Linked DNA regions of Schizosaccharomyces pombe. Changing the gene in region 1 together with any one later gene gives a genetic interaction. Each region holds a gene or a part of one and is shown on either strand. Other genes may lie near its edges.

The links.
Region 2: mutations in SPOM_SPCC24B10.18 (region 1) and sod2 together harm fitness more than expected from each alone (negative genetic interaction), as found in Schizosaccharomyces pombe (one large-scale study listed by BioGRID).
Region 3: mutations in SPOM_SPCC24B10.18 (region 1) and dph1 together harm fitness more than expected from each alone (negative genetic interaction), as found in Schizosaccharomyces pombe (one large-scale study listed by BioGRID).
Region 4: mutations in SPOM_SPCC24B10.18 (region 1) and dph3 together harm fitness more than expected from each alone (negative genetic interaction), as found in Schizosaccharomyces pombe (one large-scale study listed by BioGRID).

What each region holds. Positions count from the first base shown.
Region 1 is NC_003421.2:930,016-933,350, forward strand, and holds SPOM_SPCC24B10.18 (uncharacterized protein), read left to right. Parts: upstream 1-1,979; 5' UTR 1,980-2,006; coding exon 2,007-2,097; intron 2,098-2,379; coding exon 2,380-2,435; intron 2,436-2,488; coding exon 2,489-2,623; 3' UTR 2,624-2,832; downstream 2,833-3,335. Other genes in the region: proteasome assembly chaperone Pac4, read right to left, coding at 1-114; COPII-coated vesicle-associated protein Emp24, read left to right, coding at 576-669, 736-932, 1,063-1,371; protein Nts1, read right to left, coding at 2,948-3,335.
Region 2 is NC_003424.3:3,183,530-3,187,084, forward strand, and holds sod2 (manganese superoxide dismutase), read left to right. Parts: upstream 1-1,802; 5' UTR 1,803-1,940; coding exon 1,941-2,048; exon of another isoform or gene 2,049-2,171; coding exon 2,172-2,720; 3' UTR 2,721-3,055; downstream 3,056-3,555. Other genes in the region: Golgi Dsc E3 ligase complex transmembrane subunit, C-terminal UBA domain Dsc2, read right to left, coding at 3,225-3,555. UniProt on the Schizosaccharomyces pombe protein: Destroys superoxide anion radicals which are normally produced within the cells and which are toxic to biological systems.
Region 3 is NC_003423.3:3,385,275-3,389,354, reverse strand, and holds dph1 (diphthamide biosynthesis protein Dph1), read left to right. Parts: upstream 1-1,910; 5' UTR 1,911-2,037; coding exon 2,038-2,241; intron 2,242-2,329; coding exon 2,330-3,436; 3' UTR 3,437-3,553; downstream 3,554-4,080. Other genes in the region: plt1 (phosphate transporter), read right to left, coding at 1-1,323, 1,472-1,492, 1,548-1,592, 1,639-1,655. UniProt on the Schizosaccharomyces pombe protein: Catalyzes the first step of diphthamide biosynthesis, a post-translational modification of histidine which occurs in elongation factor 2.
Region 4 is NC_003424.3:2,853,834-2,857,377, reverse strand, and holds dph3 (diphthamide biosynthesis protein Dph3), read left to right. Parts: upstream 1-1,683; 5' UTR 1,684-1,715; coding exon 1,716-1,758; intron 1,759-1,800; coding exon 1,801-1,862; intron 1,863-1,921; coding exon 1,922-2,056; 3' UTR 2,057-2,209; intron 2,210-2,287; 3' UTR 2,288-2,973; downstream 2,974-3,544. Other genes in the region: msh3 (DNA mismatch repair protein), read right to left, coding at 1-1,447; rpl4102 (60S ribosomal protein eL41), read left to right, coding at 3,459-3,529.

The DNA.
Region 1 (3,335 bases):
ATTGCTTCCCCATACAAAGATAGAAGAGGATGGATTCAGCTTTATGACTTGTATCCATACTTTTGGTATCATTGCATTCCCAAAATCAAGTTCTTTTTGGATGACTTGAAACATGGTAAAACAATTATTTTTTTTTAAAAATTCAAAGAAAGAGAGGACAAGCAAAGTGTGGCTTTAAAATGTTGGCAAAAATATTATGAATACAACAGTAAAGGTTTTCGAACAAATGGCAAGTTCATGCAAAACCTAATTAATAGGAGAGAAAAAAAAATAAAATGAATTGATGTTCAATAATAAGTTAAATACAAAATAAACGAAGTTTTGGAGAATTACTAGTTATACTCTGAAGACAAGAATGATTTAATAATTTCCACAGAAATAAGGAAAGATACCGTATTACGTTTTTTTTATAAAGACATCGTATTTTTTCTTAAGCAAATTTAACGTAGCGTCGCCTAATTTCACAGTTGTGCTTTGTTTATGCACGGTTGCCCTCCAACTAGTGCTTTGTACGTTTCCTCTACCATAGACCTCATTCTTGCTGCTTCAAAGAGCAAAGAGCTTTACTTTGCAAAATGGCGTTTTTTAACGTATTTAAAGCCGTGTTATGTGCTTATTTTATATCTGTTGTTTTCGGTCATGGCATTACATTGAAACCGCATCAACGAGGTATGTAATTTCAGTGTATTTGTGTTGAGATTCATGGAGTATACAATGCTAATGAAGCAAACTTAGAATGTTTCTATGAAAATTTGAGGAATAATGATCAAATGTCTGTCACTTATCAAACAAACGTTGGTGGTGATCAGCTTGTTTCTATGAGTATCTACAATCCTGCGGGTCAAATTATGCATCAAGAGGTTCCCAACTCTATGGCCCAATATTCTTTCACCGTTAAGAACCCAGGGAAATACATGTATTGTTTCTATAATGTATGTGTTATCTTTTTGTTTTCTGGCATCAAAGCCTGGCATTATGGTCGTCATTTCCCATGTCGTCTAATTGTTTGATGGTTGAGCCGGAAACAGCTAGATGTACAATCTTAACTAACAACATCAATAGGATGCACTCGATGGTGAATCAAAGGAGGTTTTATTCAATGTGCATGGTGTTATATATATCTCTGATGAAGATTTGGATGCTAACAATCCTTTACTCGGCAAGGTCCGCCAACTCCATGATACCATCTCCAAGGTAAAACATGAGCAGGAGTATTTTGTGGCTCGTGAAAGAATACATCGCAATACTGCTGAAAGCACAAATGACCGCGTCAAGTGGTGGAGTATTCTTCAAACCGTTATTCTAGTTTCCGTATGTGTATTCCAAATTTTCTACTTAAAGCGACTTTTCGAAGTAAAGCGTGTTGTATAGTTTATCCGCATAACGTTACTTATTGTTCGCAATAAGTTTTCCGTGCGACTGGACGACGGTCGTAATTTCAAGATTCTGCTTGAGCAGCAAAAAGTATTATAATTGGTCTCTATTTGAAGCTGGCCATCACCGACGACTAAATTTTTTTTAAAAAATTTTATTTCCTGTCGGTTGCTGGCGTTTTCCCTTTCAATCTGAATCTTTAATCTGTCTTTTACTTGTGCAGGTTAATGTTTTCTTTTATGATCTCGCCTGTTCTTTAAAAAAAAAGATTCGTTATGTTTGAAGCAATCATTTAGCAAACGTACGTGTTTTTTAATGAATTTTAAAGTCTTAATTTCTTAAATCATTCTGCACTGTGGGAAACACTGCACTTTAACTTTCACATTTTATGGCATTCCGATCTTTCTAAAGGTACACTTTTTTTATAGACGGTAACATTAACAGTATAACAATTCCCTCATTATACATTTGCTTATAAAACGAATTATTTAGTCTGTAATGCCACTTGTATGTATTACTTATTGCTGTATTCATGGCGATGTTTGTTACCTCCTTCTAATGTTACCTTCAAAGTATCTATGAAAATTCATTTACTACACCAAACTATAACCATTACCATTTATCGTAACTCAATGGCACAAGGAGAATTTAAAAAGAAGAAAAATAGTAGTGCCAACAAGGGCGGACGTGTTACAAAACACTCCAAGAATCCTAAAAAAGGCGGTATGTCAGCTGCAACTGTCAAATATTCGGTGATCTTTGTATGCTAGGGAATTTGGTTTAGGGATGTTTCTTTTAATATTTTAAGCTCATTGAAGTTGTTGGACAACCTTTGTGGTGCTATAAACTCTTCATCTTTTCGTAACTTTAGATACTCATTATAGTAAAATTTTTCATTAAATTTTTTGATACACGTTTCAATCATTTTACTCTTAAGCATACAAGATATCATATTATATGGTTTATCATTCATCATTAATACTCATTACTAACCTTGACTTTTAGCTCGTTATTGTGCCCCTAGAAGAGCAGCTGCTATCAAAGACCATACAATTAATGCGGTATGTTTTAAAATTTACTTTTATATATGTTCTTTTTGCTAATATCTTTAAAGAACATTACAAAAACATTAAATGTTCGCAATGAGAAACTAATTGCCGGAATTGCGTCTCAACAAGTGGGCAAGTTGACAATTACTAAGGCATTAGGTGAAGCTGGTGCCAAGGAGTTAAAGGAGGGAAAGCATTGAGTCGTTTGGTATTTCTTTTTGTGTAACTGTTTTGTTCCTTTTCAAAAGGAGGTAAATGGCTACACTTGATCATACTGCATTTATCGAATTGTAGCATTGGTTTTGGAATTTTATTACTATTATGGTTAAGTATACAGGGAATTCGGTTCATTTTTGATTATTATTTATAAATTAATTTTGTTGGGAAATGAGTAAACGTTATATACAAATATTGTTGTTTGATAATTTTCTTTAAATAATTAGACTCAGTAGTGTTCCAAATAAAAAGCTCGTAATTCTAAGATTAATAATTATGTTCCACAAAAAAAATGCTTTTAAACATTCTTAAGTCCTCGTTCGTTTGTTTCGCGATAAGTTTACAGAAGTAGTTTTCGTTTTGGAGTTCTGTCCTCGCCCAGAATTTGACTCTGCATTTGAAATGGCTTTATTTAAAATTCTCCACTCCTGCTGCCATGTGTCGAGTAATGTTCTAATTCTTTTAATCTTTACTCGTTTTTCTGGAGTATCTTCCGGTGGGTGTTCTCTTTTAAGAAAATCAATCAGCTCTGAAAGCTCTTTCTCTGAATCGGAAGATTCCAATTCTATTCTCTCTTCCGCTTCAACTTTCCCGTCACCGTTAACTTCTAAATCAACTTCTTCTTTAATGCTTTCTTTTTCCGAAGTAGCCGTTGTTCCTTCTACCGGTTTGTGATGGCCACGTAGCATTTCTTCT
Region 2 (3,555 bases), on another chromosome or scaffold:
TTCTGTACAAAACAAAAGTATTATGATCCGAGAAATACTAATTTGTAGTAGGTAAACAAAGAGCATTATACTGAATAATAGAATACGAAGCTTGGACAGAGAACAGTTATTAATACTATCCATAATTTTTTAATTTCCCTGTTTTCCTAGTTTGTAGATTTGTTAGCGAGTAATATTTCATGCTTAAAATAAGTTGATTAAGAATCTGATTCGGGTCTACAGTTTGAAAAAGACAGTATATCTTTTCAGAATGATTATGACGATATAGTTTTATCGAGTTTGTGGAAATTACTGTTGAAATAATTAAAGATGTATGAATTAATTAATTACTTAACCAAAGGACGGTATGTAAATCTAAAAACAATGTTTGGGGTTTCAAAACACTTGCTTATTTATTATAAGAAAATGCTGAGATTCAAAAATTTTTAGTAAGAAGAAAAGGACTACATTAATTGCGGTTTGCAACTGTTTTGTCATATGGTAACTTAGTAAATTTTTTTGTTTTTGATGAAAAGGTAAATAAATACCCATCATCGCACCTACTAACCTACATACTCCATTGTAATTGAATAGCTCTTTAAAAATGAATAATTTCAATGACAGCATTTGAACTTCCTAACGATTACATTGTTTAATGCATCAATATCGTTAATCAATAATCATTGATATTTGCCAATTGATTAGGAAAGAACAAATTATTTTATGCAATCATGATCTTTATTCCTTAAAAAAAAAAAAAAAAAAAAATTGGGAAATACACATTGTAGCTATACTTGCTAGAACGCGAATTATACTTTGAGTTACACTTTGTCTCACCCAAAATAAAGAAAAAGAAAAAGAAGTTTCATGCACCATTAATAAAAAAAAACACGATAAAAATTACACAAAAAATTTATACAAGCAATTAACCTAAAAAATAAAAAAACACAATATAAAATACATGAAAAAAATATATGTATAATTAACTACTAAAATTAGCCGATGCTTATTTCTGGTTCAAAAAGCGAATTGCGTAACTCATGAATATCAATCAATTTTTGTATAGAAAGTTGAAAATATTAAACTTCAAGTACAGTTTTATTAACTGTACAAATATTTGCCGAGTTACTTCCTCGTTATTACCGCTTCGCTGCACTACTTATCTATTTTGCAAAGGCAATTCCTTCAACTCTGATTTCGATACCCTTTAACTAGTAGAGCCGCTGTTTCTTTTTTCATTGTGTGCTTATAAGGGTAATTTGTTGCAGGACGGATTTTTCAATTGCATCAATACTCAATCGCATCAGAAGTCAATTTGAAAAAATAAAATATTTACAATGTACTAATCACACTACTAGTTGCACTCGCCGAATTCTTGATTCGGTATTGTAAAATCATTTCTAACAATTCAATGTAAAGAAGTTGCCCTTTTAAACTTCAGTAACATTTGTTGAGTTGTCATTTCTATAAGTTCAAGTACCATTAATTGCTTGCACTTAACAAAACCTTCCAAAATTTTTTGCTTGATAATAATGTCGTAGTAAATATTATTACATTGCTATAATCTAGTAACCTAGAGTAATGAAGATTGCTAAATGAATGCAGAGAATTTTGAGAAGTTGGTGAAATGAAGATACGTTGAACTTCACATTCTACTCTATAAAACTAGTTCTTAATGGTTCATTAACAAGTTGCACAATTTGTTGTTTACCACATTTTTGGTGTAATATTTCGGAAATGACTTTCTCCAGACATTTCATAGGCCAGACGTAATTTCGAGAATTTATATAGGCTCCTTTCACCCTACTCCATACTTTCCCTCTACCATATACGATTTGTTCAATCAAACCGTACAATTTAGTTATAAGTTAAGGTATTTAACAAAGAAAACATTTCGGTTTACTTTGTTCGTTGGTCACTTTGGTTGCTATTACTTTTTTACTTTTGATCTCATTTTAACGATGCTTCGCTTTTTGTCTAAGAACTCTGTAGCCGCTATTAGGAACGTCTCAATTGCCAGGGGAGTTCATACTAAGGCTACTCTTCCCCCTTTACCTTATGCTTACAATGTATGCAATAAATAGTTGTAAAAGCAATTGCTCATGTTGATGGGTTCTGAAGCAATCATAAGTTTTGGATGTTTCCCACTGTCTAGTTAATTTGTTAATGATGATTACTAACTATAGCTTTAGGCACTTGAACCTGCTTTGTCGGAAACGATTATGAAGTTACATCATGACAAGCATCACCAAACATATGTTAACAACTTGAATGCCGCTCAGGAGAAGCTGGCCGATCCCAACCTCGATTTGGAGGGAGAGGTTGCCCTTCAAGCTGCTATTAAATTCAATGGCGGTGGTCACATCAATCATTCTCTCTTTTGGAAGATTTTAGCACCTCAAAAGGAAGGTGGTGGCAAACCCGTCACCTCTGGATCTTTACATAAGGCTATAACCTCTAAATGGGGTTCTTTGGAGGATTTCCAGAAGGAAATGAATGCCGCCTTAGCTAGCATCCAAGGTAGTGGTTGGGCATGGCTAATCGTGGATAAAGACGGTAGTCTCCGTATTACTACTACTGCTAACCAAGACACGATTGTCAAGTCCAAGCCCATTATTGGAATTGATGCTTGGGAACATGCCTACTATCCTCAATACGAGAATCGTAAGGCCGAATACTTTAAAGCTATTTGGAATGTGATTAATTGGAAAGAGGCCGAGTCTCGTTATTCCAACCGTTAAGTCCTTAAACATGTTATGCTCGATTACGAAAACACCCTGCTCATCTATCTATCCAGCTAACAAAGTATCAATTACCAGGAAAGTGTGATGTTTTGTTATTTTATTTTTGTGTTTCTTTTTGGCAGTAGCTTTGAATTTTCAAATTCATAGATTTGATAAGTTTCTAGTCTACTACCTTTGATCAATGAATGAACTAAATTTTACATTGAAATTTCCTGAAATAAAGCTATTAGACAATACCAAATTTTTTCGTTAACGATTACTACAGATCCATATTTACGAATAAAGTAAAAAATAAAAGACTAGAAACCTTCACCACTCACAGGTTTGCGCAATCATTGACAGTAAACAATTAGCTTATGATAAATGGGACAAAACAATTGCTATGTAGGAAATGTAAATAATTCATGGTAAGAAATGATGTTCAAAATTAGCAAAATTTTAAACAGGAAAGAACGAAGATAAGAAATGTGTTGTTTTGTGATCGCTTGATTAAAGAACAGTTTAATAGTCGGCTGTTTGCTCCAATAACAATTCTACAGCTCTCTGCACATCGTTAGTTTGAGATAAGGCCTGGATAGCTTGAGCTCTAGAAGTTTGCATAATCGTTTGGACAGTGTTTATATCCTCTTCTCTAATATTTCCTAATTCAGGACGTTCTGATCGGCCGCTTAACATATCGTACAACTGAGAAGCCGGTCCTGTTGGGAGAACAGAAGATGACGAGGTTCGACCAAGGGGAGGATGTGATATTTGCTGACGATTACGGAACGATGCTGCAGTATTGGATGAAGAAGCGATAGCTGTTGCTCGAGCGTTCTGTCGAGTCGGAGAA
Region 3 (4,080 bases), on another chromosome or scaffold:
AAAATTTTCAAAAACACAGTCATAAAAGGAACCAAAAACGAAGTAACGAACAAAGGAATAGCCTCCGTAGCCCATAATAAAGAAACCATTACTAACAAAGCCAAACAATTGTTCTGTTCCCTATTATCTATGACAGGAAAACTTAATAAGAGAATAAATATAACGATAATAGTAATTAAAGTTGCAATCGTGCTATTAAAGAAGCATCTTGGGATTCTAAAAACACCAAATTTAGTTTTGATTGTAAAATAGGGGGGCTGTTCTGATTCTTTCTCATCAGCTGCGACAGGCTTCAGTCCTGATAATCTCGCGGCCTGAGTACGACGCTCCATAGCCATCATTTCACGCCAAATAGTGTTCCTTTCCCATGCAACGTATTCACGAAGATGACCACGAAGGCGACGGATAGCCACAAATGTATCGCCTTGACAGCATAGCTTAGCATACCACTCTGCAACAATATTTAAACGCTTTGACAATGTTTTCCCAGTAGCAGGAAGGAAAGGGTAAGCTTGGTTGACGCGCTTCATGTACGATTCACGAAGGCTACTACCCAAAGTTTTATCATATTTTTTTAAGATTTTTGAAAAACCAGTATAATTAAGATGGACGTACGAAATCAAGTCATGAATTGAAACATACAACTGTGTCAGTTTTCGCTTTAAAGAAACGAAGTTTTCGTACGCAACAATATCAGATGGATATTGTTCAATAAGCAACCATCGATTGTTATTGTTGTTATCTTCGTCTTCATCTTCGTCCTCATCTTCATCATCATCATCATCATCTTCCTCCTCCACCTCATCATCATTGCCTTGTACCTCAGGTTGAGCTTCTGAATGTTGTTTTTTTGATAAACCGTTTTTAGAAGTATCGACATCATGAGGTTCAGACGGTTGAATAGCAGTAGATTCTGCTCTAGATATAGCAGGGGCCGCATAACCTCCATCACTAGTTTGCCCATTGAGATATATCTCACGGTTTGAAGAAGTAATGCGAGGCAATTCTTGGCTGCGGGCCATACGACCAGATTTCCTACTCGCTGAGCTCTTTTGTAATCGTTCAGGGGTAGGGTAATTAATGTTGTTTCCCTGACTCATATACTCATTCTCATAGGTTTCAAATTCGCCCTTAATTCTACCATACTGATCAGCAATTTCTTTTTCTTTAGGAGCATAAAATTCAACAATTCCTTGTAATTCCTTGTCTAAAGCAAACATAAAGCGATCATCGGGTGATCTTCTTTCGTGCTCTAACAGCCTAGTTTCTTCATCTGGAGCGCCTTGTTGTAATGTTATCTGTTCATGTTCCAATGAATAAATACTTAAAAATATATGTTAGCAAAATTCAAGTACAATTTTATTCTCCGGCTGTTAATCAGACATTATCCCAAATTTCGCAAGTATGAATTTGTCGGAATATAGGATATATCATAATAGCCAGTCGTAAGCTCGAGAATTTTCAAACATACAGCTTCTTAAGGTTCGAGTAACTAAGCACCGATTGTTAGCAAAAATCGGAAGTAATCCAACAGGTTGTTTACTTACGCAATGTAGCTTTCGGACCATTCCGGTACTGCATTAAATTGAAGACTAAAAAGTAATTAGAACAAGTCTTGTGAAAACTGATGCAACAAACCTATGACTGAATTTCATCTTGGATGACAGAGGTCATTTAACTTCAATTGTGACTAAAAACAGCTTTAGCTTATTCACGCAAATTAATTTGGAACAATCTAAAGGAGCGTTAGCCGTTCAAATTTCGTGGCCTATGATCGGAGGTGAAGCTGTATTCGTGGATCCAACCTCCGATAGAAATAGCGTAATATAACAACGTGTGTTAAATAATATAGCAAAGTGCAATGCTTTTTTACTTAGTAAATTATTTGGGATCCTATTGTATTTTAATTTAACAAACAAGCAATTTGCAGGGAAAAAGGATTTTTGGCATTCTATCAATTTAAATACATACATAGCATTGGTTACTTCTTGGGATTTCAAAGGGTTTTAGTAATAGACTTTATAATTTTAAAACACAATGGCGGAAGTGAAAAAATCAATTCCAAAACGTCGTTTTGTTGGCAAAAAAAATAGGAAGGAAAATAATTTGGATGGTTCTAATAGAGATGTTGAAAATGCTGCTCTCGTCACTATTAACTCCAAGAGGAGCGCTGGACGAGTAGCTACTCAAATCCCAGAGGATATATTAAACGATAAAGCAATTAATGAAGCTATAAAATTGGTAAGCTGCTTTTATTAGAGAAAGATGCCGTAAATTAGTTTCTTCTTTTCTCAAAAACATCAAAGCTTGGTCAGCTAACCTTTAATAGTTACCGCAAAATTACAATTTTGAAATTCACAAAACCATTTGGCATATTCGCTTACGAAAAGCAAAACGTGTTGCCTTGCAACTTCCCGAGGGGCTATTGATGTTTGGTTGTATATTGTCTGATATTTTTGAACAATTTTGCCAGGTCGAGACAATTGTGATGGGCGACGTTACATACGGTGCGTGTTGTATTGACGATTTTACAGCTAGGGCACTCGATTGCGATTTTTTAGTACACTATGGTCATTCTTGTCTTATACCTGTTGATCAAACGCCCATAAAGGTGCTATATGTTTTCGTGGATATAAAGATAGATTTGCAACATGTCGTATCATCTTTAAAACATAATCTACCCTCCAATTCTAGGTTAGCTTTGGTTGGAACTATCCAATTTGTTGGATCTCTCAACTCTATAAAAGACGCTTTGCAAATACAGGATGAAGACGGAAAGGGAGGTTTTTACGTTGTTATTCCACAAGCAAAGCCATTATCTCCTGGAGAGGCGTTGGGATGTACATCTCCCTATATTGAAAAAGGATCTGTAGATGCATTAATTTACATTGGTGACGGAAGATTCCATTTGGAATCTGTCATGATTGCTAATCCTGATTTGCCCGCATACCGCTATGATCCTTACTCACATAAGCTCTCTATTGAATCTTATGCTCATGAAGAAATGAAATCTATTCGGTATTCCGCCGTTGAGAAAGCTCGTACCGCTAAAAAGTTCGGTCTAATTCAAGGTACACTGGGTCGACAGGGGTCTCCTAAGGTACTCGAAAATTTAAAGAATACTTTAAGGAAAAATAATAAAGATTTCGTTTGCGTTTTAATGTCAGAAATTTTTCCTAGTAGATTGGGTCAATTCTCTGATATTGACGCGTGGATTCAGGTCGCTTGTCCAAGGCTTTCCATAGATTGGGGCTATGCATTTCCCGCTCCATTGTTGACACCATATGAAGCATCTGCTGCTTTTAATGTTGTTCCTTGGAAGGAAGTTTATCCTATGGACTTTTACGCTACCAATTCATTAGGTAATTGGACTCCAAATAATCCCGAAAATCGACCTCTGCCAAATCGCAAAAAAACCGGACCCGTTTCTTCTTAACGCTACTTGCCATTAATGGCACTAATACTTGTTATTTTTTAACCCTTATATTGTTCTTTATAGGTTTATTAAAATACCAATAGAATTCTCATCTGATAAATACAATATGTATTACATAAACTACTGCTTTAATATATTTATATTTAAACTATGCACCGGCAGGCGCGTCCCTCATTTTAAGGAAATTTATAAGTAACCAGCCCTACATGTTGTAAAGTAACGATTGAATGTGTCCAGCATACCCCCCTGTTCCATGGCGGTTATAAAATCAACACAAGCAATGCGAAATTTTTTTCTTGTTATGTTGTTCTAACTTTTTTTATGTGAGTAGTTCTAGTAGCTGCAGATAGGTTCAGGATGCTTAGCCAAGTAAGCCAATAGGAATGTTCTTGATCGTTATCACTCCGTCACCGTCCGATTCAGCTTAAACACTCCCATAACCCATTCTCAAAGTGAATCCCTTTTTCTCCCTTCTAATAGTGTTGTTATATATACTTATATATAATAAAAAGGTAGGTTAATAGCATCATATTACAAGTTAACACATTTTGATGAGAGAATTTCATGCTATGATACCGGAGCGGATATGTCTGCGCAAAAATCACTCCACTTGATTTGCATATATATCGATGATGGCAGAAGTG
Region 4 (3,544 bases), on another chromosome or scaffold:
ACAGCATTTTACGAATTGCTTGAACTTGACTATTAGAATTAAAGGCTAATTCCTCAACCGCGTCCAGACGCTCGATTATATTTTCTTTATCAACCAAAGGCTTTTGAAGCCATCTCTGAAGCATCCTTTGTCCAAATCTTGTGTATGTGCGATCTAACACCCAAAATAGGCTACCAACAGGTGTATGATCTGTTTGATTAACGAAAAGCTCAAGACCTTCCAAAGCCTGTTTACTTAAAACCATAGAAGAAATGCTATCAAAAGGTTGATAAAAGTTTGAAGCAACGAATAGATCTTCCAATGAGAATTCCATCAAATAAGAAATGGCCATGTCCAAACAAATGATTGAAAGAGAATGTAAAGACTTCACCTTTTCCATGTGTAATTCTATAATTTTGCTACCGGACATGATGCATTTAGAAGAAAAGAAGTCCTGCAAATTCTCCAATGCTAGTTTCACGTCCTGCTGAACAGCATGTTGCACACGCACTACTCTACCGCAAGTTTTTTCAGTTGATACGTAATGATTCAGTAGGGCAACCGATTCGGAAGATAACTTGTTCGAATATATCAATTCACAAGGTTGAAAATGAGAAAGTCTTGTTTGTAATTCGCTTCTCAAAAAATCATCTTGAAAATGATCATAAACAGTAGTTCCAGATGATAATTGTATGGCAATTAGTCCAACCTGAACTCTTCCTGATTTTGCTTTGCTCTTATCAACATTATCTGCAACACATAGGATAAATTGGGAAGCTTGTAGTGTACCATGCTGTGTTTGCTCAAAGCGAAAAAAGCTATCATCTAGAGTAGTCCCCTTGGTAAGCACGCGAGCAACTCGTCTGTCAAACAGAGTGTTTCTGCTAGAGCTAGTTGACTTGAGAGCGGCTGTTTCAGTTTGTCGAACAACAGCAACTTTGAGACCAAAATTAATGAGTCTTTCCAAGTGATAGTCAATACGATACGAGGGAACACTAGCATTTAAAAAATTGTGCTCAAAATAGCAACTAATTCCTAACACCTCAGAGGCTATTTTTGCATCCTTCCCAAAAAATCGGAACTTATATCCTACTTCAATTGCCAAAATAGTTTCTTGATAATTTTTCTTCAATTCTAAGTATTGCTGCTCAAGTGGTGTGAAAACAGATTTCTGTTTAGTAGGTTTCGATGCTTTTCTTTGCACTAATTCTTTATTTGAAGTAGATTTAACCGTACGAATTCTCCTCTTTCGTTTTATGCTTATAAGAGGCGCGTTCTCATCAATCGAAGAACTTCCCTCATCTTCTTGATAGCTATTTTTTGAACTACCAACATTATTTTCTAGTAACTCTATGGCTGGACCACTGAGGGCAACCATATCTTCTGATATTGCTCCTTCATGTAAATTATCTGATAGAATATTAATAGCGTCGCATTCATGAGTAATGTTATAACTCATTCCTCTCATGTAATAAAGCGAAAATAAAAACTGTACAATCAAATTTGCTCAACATAGATTTGTAACGCATTTATAGTTTCTAAATGAATATAGGCGGACGTTTTAAAAAATACAACAAAACGGTAACAAGTAAGTATCGTTCTCCTCTAAATTACAGTAGATTCCATTTATGTTAAACTTAGCTTGTAGTTTTCATTATGGGCGGTTCCCACATATAAAACAAATTTTTGGTGGAGTGGCCACGCACCTTCTGCCAGTAGTGCATTGAAGCGGCAAAATGTCATTTTACGACGAAATCGAGTTAGAAGATTTCACGTTTGGTATGTATTTGTTAAAAGTTGAATACTTTTGCTAATTAAAAGACGCCGGTACGAACTTGTACACTTTTCCCTGTCCTTGTGGGGATCGCTTCGAGATATCTTTGGTATGTATTGATACGCAATTTCTTAATATTTTGGAAGTTTATACTAATTCATTATTTAGGAAGATCTTCAATTAGGGGAAGATGTTGCTCGTTGCCCAAGCTGCAGCTTGATTGTCCGGGTGATCTATGATGAAGATGAATTCATGGAAGTTGATAACGATGCTTCTACAGCACCTATAATCATTGCAGCATAATTTTTCCCTATAATTTCTTATTTGGTTTTTTACTTCTATTTATTCTCAAAATGTCTTGAAATTACGAAGGATAGGAGGGCTACTCTTTACATCGTGATATCCTCAAAATTTATTTGTTTAGTTTTCTCAGATCACTGGTTTTGTATTGGCATAGTACGTTTGTTGTTCATTCTATTAATAATTAAACTGTATCTTTTTAGTTGAATTTGTAAGTTTTTAACAACACTTTAGGCAAGTTTTTTGAGCGTACGACTTTTCCAAAGATTATTTTGCCCATATAATACAGTTTACTTATAAAATAATTTCTATTACCACTAGCTTCCGTAAGCATGCGCACCTCAACGGTAACTTTCTTTCTTCAAAATTAAAATGAACAACGCCTCTGCAAAACATTAAGGGAAGAATGGAAGAAAATTTAAAGAGAACTTCATTAGGAAATAACAATCTTTACTCGAAACTAAAAGCCCACCTTTAGCTATTTTTGTTAAGTGATAAATTATTGCATTTCTGCGTATGTTTTAACAACGCATAATTTTAAAACACTTTACGAAACGAGTTTAAGTTTATAAAATAGCTTTATAACTTATTCTTTCAAAAAAACGTTTTCATTATTACAAATAATGGATAAATGCTATTCAATTTATTCTTCGTTTCAAGATTGTGGAATTAAAATGAATTCGTACTTGTGCTCAACGTAAGTACGTATTGAAGTCCAAGTTGCGATCAATTCCACAGAATTTTGAAATTTCATTGCTAAAGCATTTGAAACTTATCAGTTGAACTAAAAGCCAGCTACTTAACAGTATTTCCATCAATTTACTTATAAAGCAATATCATTCCAGCTTTAGTGCGACATACCACAGTGGAATCTCAAATTTATTTAGAAGCTTAAAAGGGAATTTAAACATTACGCAAATGTAAGCTACGCAGTTTGGTATCTAATTTAAGGATACGTAGAACTGCGGTGAGTTTTCCTTGTGATCTATTATATTACAATACACAGGTTGTATAAGTAGCAACTGAGTATAGGTATTGTATTAACTGGGTTATAATGTTACCTATCACTAATATAGCTCATAACTGAACTGAGGAACGAGGTTCAGCAGTAGCTCTATTTATAGTATTCAGATAATATTGATCTTAATAGATTATCATTAAGATCAATCTCCATATCGTATCATACATGGTACGATATATAATTAGAACATGTGACATATAGTGATACTCAACGTAGTGTATCATAGCGTAGTGTAGTATTGCTGACAGCAAACTTAATTAACGAACTTTTTATAATATGTTATTGCATATAGCACGACGCTATCTCATATGCCAGAGCCAAAGAAACAGTCACATTTTCGTATATCTAACATGTGGCCTACAATACATTTTTACCACTGCCAAGATGCGTGATAAATGGAGGAAAAAACGCGTGCGTCGTCTCAAACGTAAAAGAAGAAAGATGAGAGCCAGATCGTAAGTCTAATATAA